2 linked regions of the Drosophila melanogaster genome follow. Changing the gene in region 1 together with any one later gene gives a genetic interaction. Each region holds a gene or a part of one and is shown in the gene's direction. Other genes may lie near its edges. The genes, in order: mRpL12 and Hph.

Region 1 (3,305 bases):
CCATTGTTATTTTTAGCTACGATGGCACATACTTGCTTCAACATAGGCTTTAGACTTTAGAATCTGCGATAGCACTTTACGGTGTGTACTTTTTTGCAGTGCACCTTTAACAAACAAGCCTCGACCGGTTCTTGATAAGATTCTCAGATTTTCAAGTCCGAGTTGTCTGACCGCTCATCGCAGTTTTAATTGGTATTCCCACAATGGCGGATGCATTGCGCTTTGTGGCCTGGAGCTGCTGCCTCCAACTGCTGTTCCTGCTCCTTGGCGTTCAGGGGTATGAAGTACCCAAGGCTAAGATCGATGTTTTCTATCCCAAGGGATTCGAGGTCTCAATTCCCGATGAGGAGGGCATCACCCTGTTCGCCTTCCATGGCAAACTAAATGAGGAGATGGAGGGCCTGGAGGCTGGCACCTGGGCACGGGACATTGTCAAAGCGAAAAACGGACGCTGGACCTTCCGGGACCGGATTACGGCTCTAAAGCCTGGCGACACCCTGTACTACTGGACATACGTTATCTACAACGGACTGGGTTATCGCGAAGACGACGGGTCGTTTGTGGTCAATGGGTACAGTGGTAATAATGCCTCACCACATCCACCTGTGGTTCCAGTCTCCACAACGCCCTGGACTCCACCTGCCGATCCGGATATCGACATAAGGTTGGGTTGTACTACTCCCAAAACCGAGGTCAATGGAGCACCCACTCGCTGTGCCGGGCAGCTGGTGTTCGTGGATGAGTTCAATGCTGCAAAGCTGGATCCCAATAAGTGGAAAGCGGAACGCAGGTTTTCCGGTCAACCCGACTACGAGTTTAATGTGTACGTGGATGACGCTCCGGAAACCTTGTGCTTAGCCAATGGTCATGTGGTGCTCTCGACGAACACAATGAAAAAACAATTCAAGAAGGGTTCGGGTGAAAGTTTGGATCTGGGTGAAAAGTGTACGGGACAAGCGAATACCCACGACTGTGTAAGAAATGGGCGAACCCTAAATGACGGACTTCCGCCAATGGTCACCGCTCAGTTCTCCTCCAAGGATTTCTCCTTCAAGTATGGTCGCGTGGAGGTGCGAGCCAAAATGCCGCGGGCACAGTGGGTGACTCCACAAATCTGGCTGCAGCCCAGGCGTCCGATCTACGGAGTGGATGATTATCGGTCGGGACAGCTGAGAATCGCTTATACCCGTCCGAATGGAGGTAATCTGGATTTGTATGGCGCCGCCGTGCTCTTTGCAGATGAGCCGCTGCGATCGGTCAAGAATTGCCTGAAGCCAGGTACTGGAAATAACTCCGAGGACTGGAGCGATAGTTTCCACAATTACACCCTCGAATGGACACCCAGGGAACTTCGCTGGCTGGTGGACGGCAAGGAGTGGTGTGTCCAGGGAAGTGCTAAAGGGTCTTTCAGCGAGACGACTGCCGCCGGAAAGAGTTTACCGCAGGCCCAGAAACTGGAGGAGGGCACTGGACTGGCACCCTTCGATCAGGAGTTCTACTTGACCTTCGGACTCAGCGTGGGCGGTTTTAACGAGTACCAGCACGAGATCAAACCCTGGAACGAGAGGGCGCCGCAGGCGCAGAAAGCCTTTTGGAAGGAAGTCAAGAAGATCAGGGACCACTGGCTGGACGAGGGCCACATGAAGATCGACTACGTAAAGGTGTACTCTTTGTAAACTCTGTAATCGAATTACAAGCATAGGAAATAAAACAAATATAATTAACATTTATACAATACATTTTATACATTTACATCTAAAATTATGCTAGAAAATGGAAGAACTTTCTTAAATGAAAATCAAGTTCAAAGGTTCTTACCTGTTTATTTTTTAAATAAATTTCCATGCAAAACAAGCAAAAACAAGCAAAAAACAATTGTAAATTAAATTATTTATTTAGCGGTATTTAAACGTTACTTTTCCAACCATATGGTTTTATTTAAGCATGGCACTGCCGTTCAACCAAATATGTTGAATGCAGCCCTGGCTGTTTATCGATAAACTGCTCACATAACCTGCTGCTGCGGCCCAAAGAATTTATTTTGTCACCCGAAAACCGTAAGTAAATGGATATTAAATGATAGTTGAACGCTTTTCTAACTTAAGACTTGCAGATACCAATAAGATGCACATCACACGCCTCGCCCTTCGCCAGATTTCGCGCCAAGTGCAGCTGCATCGCATGTACAGTGCAGCGGCTCCGGCCGCCGCAGTCTCGGGTGCGGAAAAACTGGTGCCTCCCGCGCCGGAAGGAGCCGCCAAGCCACCCAATCCCAAACTGGACTCGATTGTCAACAACATTGCCGCGCTCAATCTCCTCGAGGTGGCCGAGCTGAGCACCCTGCTCAAACAGAAACTGAACCTGCCCGAGACCGCATTTGCCCCACAATTCGCCGCTGGGCCGGCACGTGCTGCTCCCGCCGAGGATGAGGAGGAGGCAGCGCCCAAGAAGGTACAGACCTCCTTCAAGGTCAAGCTGGTCAAGTTCGACGAAAAGCAGAAGGTGGCGCTGATCAAGGAGGTGAAGAACCTACTCGAGGGCATGAACCTGGTGCAGGCCAAAAAGTTCGTCGAGAGCGCACCGACCATCGTTAAGGAGGACATCCCCAAGGAGGAGGCCGAGAAACTCAAGGAGGCACTGTCCAAGGCGGGCGCCATCATCGAGATCGAGTAGGATCGGCCACGGTGCCTTCGTTTATCCACTTTGCGTTTAGCTGCTAGTTACTGTTTTAATAAAAAGCCAGGCAACATTTGCTGTAAACTTTACGTTTTGTTTAACCCAATATTTTGTTTTTGCAAAACAGAAGGATAGGTTTTTAGACAAAAGTAGGTAAAATACTTTTCGCCTAGAAATCGCAAAAGTATTTACATAATACAAACTTTCTTGCAATGCTGTGGTTAGTTTACTAGATCAAAACATAATTATATTTGTTCATTTACATAATTATATTAAGGTTAATATCTAGAGGAAAAACTTTTAAAAAAGTCTTTGTTTTTTGAAAAGCCCTAATCGCACTCCAAATAACTTATATGGATTGCTCGTAGTTGGCAACGCAGCAAATTACGTGCAACTTTCTAAGCGTCGGCCTGGAAAACAATCCAGCCCAATCCACTTTTACCTTCCTTTTGGGATTAAACCTTAATTAGTGTCATAGTCGGCGATTAGTGGTGTCCTGCTAATTGGTGTCGTGCGTGTCGTGCTGCGTTCTAGTAAATGCACCAAATCAGATCAGTAATCAGCTCTTGCTGACTCAAAAACACGCGCCAAATCCAGCTAGATGGTACCGTTACATCATCATGGTCTGT
Region 2 (5,307 bases), on another chromosome or scaffold:
AGTTCACCAAATATTAAGTTTCGCACACATTCAGTGTTCTTTCTTTAGCGAATCCCACAAGGCACTGCTATCCATTCGGTTGGCCACTCGCAAGGCAGAGCAGGCTTTTCAGGAGCGTCAGTACGAACTGCATATGGAGATGATGCGTCAACGGGTCAAATCCGCTCCCCTTCTTCTGGAAGGACCCACGTTCTGGGGTCCAGAAGTGGGCAAGCTCACCCACACCTGCCGGACCGAGGAACTGCGTCATTCGTGCGAGGGGAGCCGGCAACGTAGGAAGAAAAAGTCAGAGTTTCCTGTTCCCGATGCGGATACTAAGCTGCAGCAACTGCGTAAGGTCTATGGCTCAGAAAAGTCCTGTTCGAGGCAGTCTCAACGAAGCAAGCGGTCCGAACGACGGCCGCAGGGGCTCACGACCGAGACGCCCAGCCACGACAGCGGTGACGACCTGTGCAGCGCAGATCGAGCTTTCCTCTAGAGATTCACCTAATTCCCAAGCACATAGTCACAATATATGTATACTTTTTTGGAATGACCTAAGCCTGGGATTTATTGACCGGAACTTTCAGGTTGTGAAGTGGTTTAAAGTCCGGAATCAACTCGAATCCAGTTTTTTGATCGTCTGCTAGGGCGGCGTTTCCAGGACGCTTCAGAATTATGGCTTGCAAGCCCGCACAGCGAGCGGCGGCCGCTTCTAAAATATAATTTCACATTAAAAATGTTACGGATGAGGATTCGTGTGGATCAGCCACTCACCTCCTGGAATATCCGTGAGAAAGAGTATCTGCTTCGGGTCCTCCTTCAATTGCTTGGCAATGTTTTTATAGGACTGCTGTTCCTGTTTGTGGCCCACATGGGTGTCGAAATAAGCACTCAAGTACGGCTGCAGGTTCCCGGCCAAACTATGACCGAATATCAGCTTTTGGGCAGCCACACTGCCGCTGGAGTAGACTGCAATCTGGAGGCCAGCAGCACGCCAAGCCTCAAAAGCTGCAGGGACGTCTTCGTATACACTATAATAACATTTATAGATAATTAATTAATTATCAATAATAATGAGTTGTTGCGTTGTACTTTTGGTTACTATGTTGAATGTTATCTGATAACTATTGAAATCAGCAAAAGTTAAACATTCCCGTGCGGAGAATATAGCTAGCATACATATTTAAAAAATCACCAAGCTGTATAATTGGATCTCAGAAAGACACCCAAATTATTTTTGGGAACAGACGTTAAGTAAGCCTTTTCTTTGATAACCTTCTAGAGTTCAGATTGTAAAACTTATATGGCCATGATAGGAGAATATTGAATGGGGAACTTACTGGCCCTTCAGCTCTCCATTAGCGTAGCCCTGCGCCCAAATCAAGCCCTGCAGCGTTTTCATTGGCGTGACCTTCAGATCCTGATCAATTAAATAGCGCACAAAGCCTGCAATCAGATCTACATCCACTTCCGTAGGTGGACCACTTAACAGGGCCTTGTAGTCCGCATACTGGGGCACTTGCTGTAGATCCTGGACAATACGCTTTATATCATCTTCTTCCCACGAATCCCTCAGGAACTTTTCCACATTCTGCTTGGCGTAGGGAAACAGGACATCGTGCACAAAGCTAATCGAAGTGGTGGTGCCCTCGATGTCCACCAGCACCACTTTGGCCACTCGTTCACTGGACGACATTGCGCTTATTAGTGGGATTAAGTTATCACGAGGAACCAGTTGATTTTCCGCCCAGCATCTGTTTAGTTTTGATAATGGAGATGGCACATCGCGCTATCGACTATCGACTTTAAAATATATATATATAAATGTATTGGAATAGACGATAAGGGTATTTGCCATTCTTAGAGACCTTGCTTAATTGATAAACGATCGACTGAAGTTGTATTAAAGTAATTCTTATGGGGTTAATGGCCGCTTTGAGTTAATTTTCCCAATAGCTTTTTGTTTCCGAATCTTGTGCAATTAAATATTAAAGCTAGTAAATAAAAATAGCGAAATAAAAAGCTTTGATTACCGTTAGTATATAAGTGCCAGTATAAAATAATCACCACTAACGTTGGCTCGTTCAGCTATCGATACCTACTGCCCGCCGGTAATAGTGCTGTACAACGAGTACATGTCAATCGCTGCACGCTAAGTATCGGTCGACGCCCATCGCTATCAAAAAGAAATTTTAGTGCTGAGTTAAGAATTTTTCCCTTTTTTTGCACAGTTTACGCGGTTTTTATAAACAAGGGGCGTAATAGAGCTCAAGGCAGGGTATAAAACAGTCAATAGGGTTAAAAGTTGCAACCCTAAAACGTCTTACAAAAGAGAATACTCGCAGGAAAAACCAACAACAATGCACATATAGCTGCCCGTGCGTCTGTGTGTGTGCGTTGTATGTGCGTTTTTTTTTGTTTATTTGGCAAATTCGGTGGCCTACGTGATTAAAATAAGCACAAACAGTCTTAAGTGAAATGTTGGCTAAAACGCCCGAGTGCCGTAATTCGCATTGATAACAAATAGCCATAATCTGCGAGCGTGTGTGTGTGTGATTGCCTCAGTTGGCGTAGGTGAGGTGGGGTAAAAAAAGCTGGGAGAGCTGTCAAGGTTAAAATCGGTCGTCGCCTTTGGCTCTCCTCTCCCGCAAAATGCAATGAGCAGGGGTCGCGGAAAGGTCAGGGATTCAGCAAGCCATTCCGGCTCCCACTCCGCATCCAAATCGGCCATGGACCCGCCGCGCTGCTCCATCTGCGGCACTCAGCAGCAACTACTGCGCTGCGCCAAGTGCAAGGCCGTCTACTACTGCTCCCCCGCCCACCAGCATCTCCATTGGCCCGACCACCGCACCGAGTGCCGCCTCCTGACCCGCCAAAAGCTCAACAGCAGCAACAACAATAAGCAGCAGCAGCGGCAGCAGATCCAGCAACTGCAACAAGCTGTGGCATCTGCCAATCTGGAATGCAGCGGCGCCGGCGCCAACTGCTCCACCGCCCAGATGATGACGCCTGCCCACCAGGCGCAGAGTTGGCCCGCCGAGGTAGACAACCTGCTGAATCTCCTCGGGCAGCCGGGCAGCCAGGAGAAGGCTGCAGCTGCGGAAACGGAAACAGGTCAAAGGCAGCAGCAGCACCAGCATCATCACCATAATGGCGAAAAGAGCTCCAGCTATCAAATCGGTCTGGCGGATGCCAGCTTCATGGGATCAGGAAGGTAGGTCGTCAGTGGACAGGTCAGATGTTTCAGTTTCAACAGTTTTATGCTAAAACATAAGTTAAAAATGTATAATACTATAATACTGCTCATGGTGGCACGCTAGAAGAGATATATTTTTCTTAGAAGCTCTTTTGAGCCTGCATAGTGCCATAGTATTTTATTAGATGCAATCAAATATCAGCTGATCTTTTATTGAAGATGGAAAAATATTCTCCATGAGATAGAAAATCATTCCTTGTACCTACTGGGCTTTTAAAAATAATATAAGATTAACGCTGAATATCGAATTAACACTTAATTTGGAAGAAGCATGGGAGGTTGACTTAAAACCTTAAAAGCTTTTCTATCAGACAATTTCGGCCAGCTTTACCAGATCGACCAACGAGTGCATTGGCTTCATCAGTTGCCCCAGTTCCTTACCCTCCACTGCGTCCGAACGCATAGGCTGCTGCATCTTGTTGTGTGCCCTGTATGCCCGACATTCATCCAACACCCGCTCTAACTCCGCCCCAGTTAGGTTCGAATCAGCAACGGATGTCTCCCACTGGGGTCTCTGCATTTGCTGGTCAACAGTGATTAGGGACTCCTCTGCTTTGACTCCTCCATCCGATGCATAAATCGTAGCCACTGCTGCTCCAGCTCCTTCGAGCATGGCTAAAACGAGGCAGCCCACAAAGGCACTGTTGGCCATGGCTCGAATTCCATTCCGGGCGGCTAAAATTCCGCCAGTGGCCGCTCCGCTGACAATCGCGTTCCAGGAATCCTCCCTCTGGCGGTACGAGACCATGACGCAGTCCACCGTGCTGAAGGTGGCGCCCCAAATGGCAAAGCTGCCGGCTATGGCCGGTGTCCGCAACCTCACCGATTCTATACCGCCGTGCAAGCCACGTCGAAGACCGGACGGAGCGTTTCGGAATCCCTTGAGGTACTGAAACAACGATCCTCCCATGGTGCCCATCATAAAGGCGCACCCGCAATCCTCTACAATCCTGATGGGACACGGCTGGCGATTGTACTCCATGTTCGGGTGATGTACTGACCAAAAGAATCCGTAATTAATTCAAAACTTGATTTGTAGTGAACTTTCCTTGTTTTGCGAATATGTGCTATCAGCTTTTGACCAATATGGCCTTTGATTAAAAACGTGTGTTTATAGATTATACATAACTTTGAGAATGTTGCCTTACGACTTTTACGTCCGTTCTAACTAGATACAAATATTTACCAATGGTCCTACAAACGAAATATACAGTTTGTCAAGAAACTGTTTACACACTGTGAAATAAGTTGAATTTTTGACTTTAAAGCTAAAAATTAAAGGTTTTTTGCTTAATTAAACGCATTTTTTTTATAAAATATAATTAAACAATATTTATTTTACTTATAAATCAAAAAACAAATTAAAAATATTAAATATACAAGAAAAAAAACAACAAATTCCAAGTTTAAACACTTTTGAGACTGTCAAGAAACTCTTTACACAAAACACTAAATCGATGTTTAATCCTAAATTTTTAAATTATTTTATTAAAATTTTAAAAGTTTTGGTATGTAGTATGTTCCCCATTGGCTTTAGCTACAAGTTGAAGCCCTTTTTTCATGGATTGGACAAGTTTTTGCAGGTCATATTCAAACGGGATCTTTTCACACTCTTCGACTATTACAGTCATAAGCTGTTGTTGTGTTTTAGGTTCCTTTTTGCCACCTTCTTCTTTAAGTAGGTCCACAAATTTTCAATGGGGTTCAGATCAGGACTCTGAGGGGGCGTATCGATCACTTTACCACAGTTATAAGGGCGCCAGGTGCGTACATTGCACTCTTTATGTTTCTGATCATGTCCTCTTAAAATATAAAATTTGGCTTGTTGTTGCTAACTAGATCAAATTTTTCTGCACTGGCCTTCAAATTTGTTTTTTAAAATTCCTAGATATTGCACGGCAATTATTGTGCCCTCAATTAAGGCTAGTTTTCCCACTCTACGGCTGGTGATACAGCCCCAAACCAACAGTGACATTTTTCCAAATTTTATCGTTGGAATGATATTTTGTTTTTCTAGCGCACTCAACGGTTTGCGCCATACTCTGCTTGGCCCGTCGTTATAAAAGAGC

Evidence for each region.
Region 2: of mRpL12 (region 1) and Hph, changing one suppresses a phenotype caused by changing the other (phenotypic suppression), as found in Drosophila melanogaster (one study listed by BioGRID).

What each region holds. Positions count from the first base shown.
Region 1 is NT_037436.4:8,954,823-8,958,127, forward strand, and holds mRpL12 (mitochondrial ribosomal protein L12), read left to right. Parts: upstream 1-1,968; 5' UTR 1,969-2,057; intron 2,058-2,113; 5' UTR 2,114-2,124; coding exon 2,125-2,673; 3' UTR 2,674-2,762; downstream 2,763-3,305. Other genes in the region: GNBP3 (Gram-negative bacteria binding protein 3), read left to right, coding at 204-1,676.
Region 2 is NT_033777.3:5,254,926-5,260,232, forward strand, and holds the start of Hph (HIF prolyl hydroxylase), read left to right. Parts: upstream 1-2,111; 5' UTR 2,112-2,639; coding exon 2,640-3,196; intron 3,197-3,410; exon of another isoform or gene 3,411-3,545; coding exon of another isoform or gene 3,546-4,220; exon of another isoform or gene 4,221-4,234; intron 4,235-5,307. Other genes in the region: CG1113 (uncharacterized protein), read left to right, coding at 49-478; Enoph (Enolase-phosphatase), read right to left, coding at 537-694, 757-1,013, 1,323-1,678; Tim17a2, read right to left, coding at 3,546-4,220.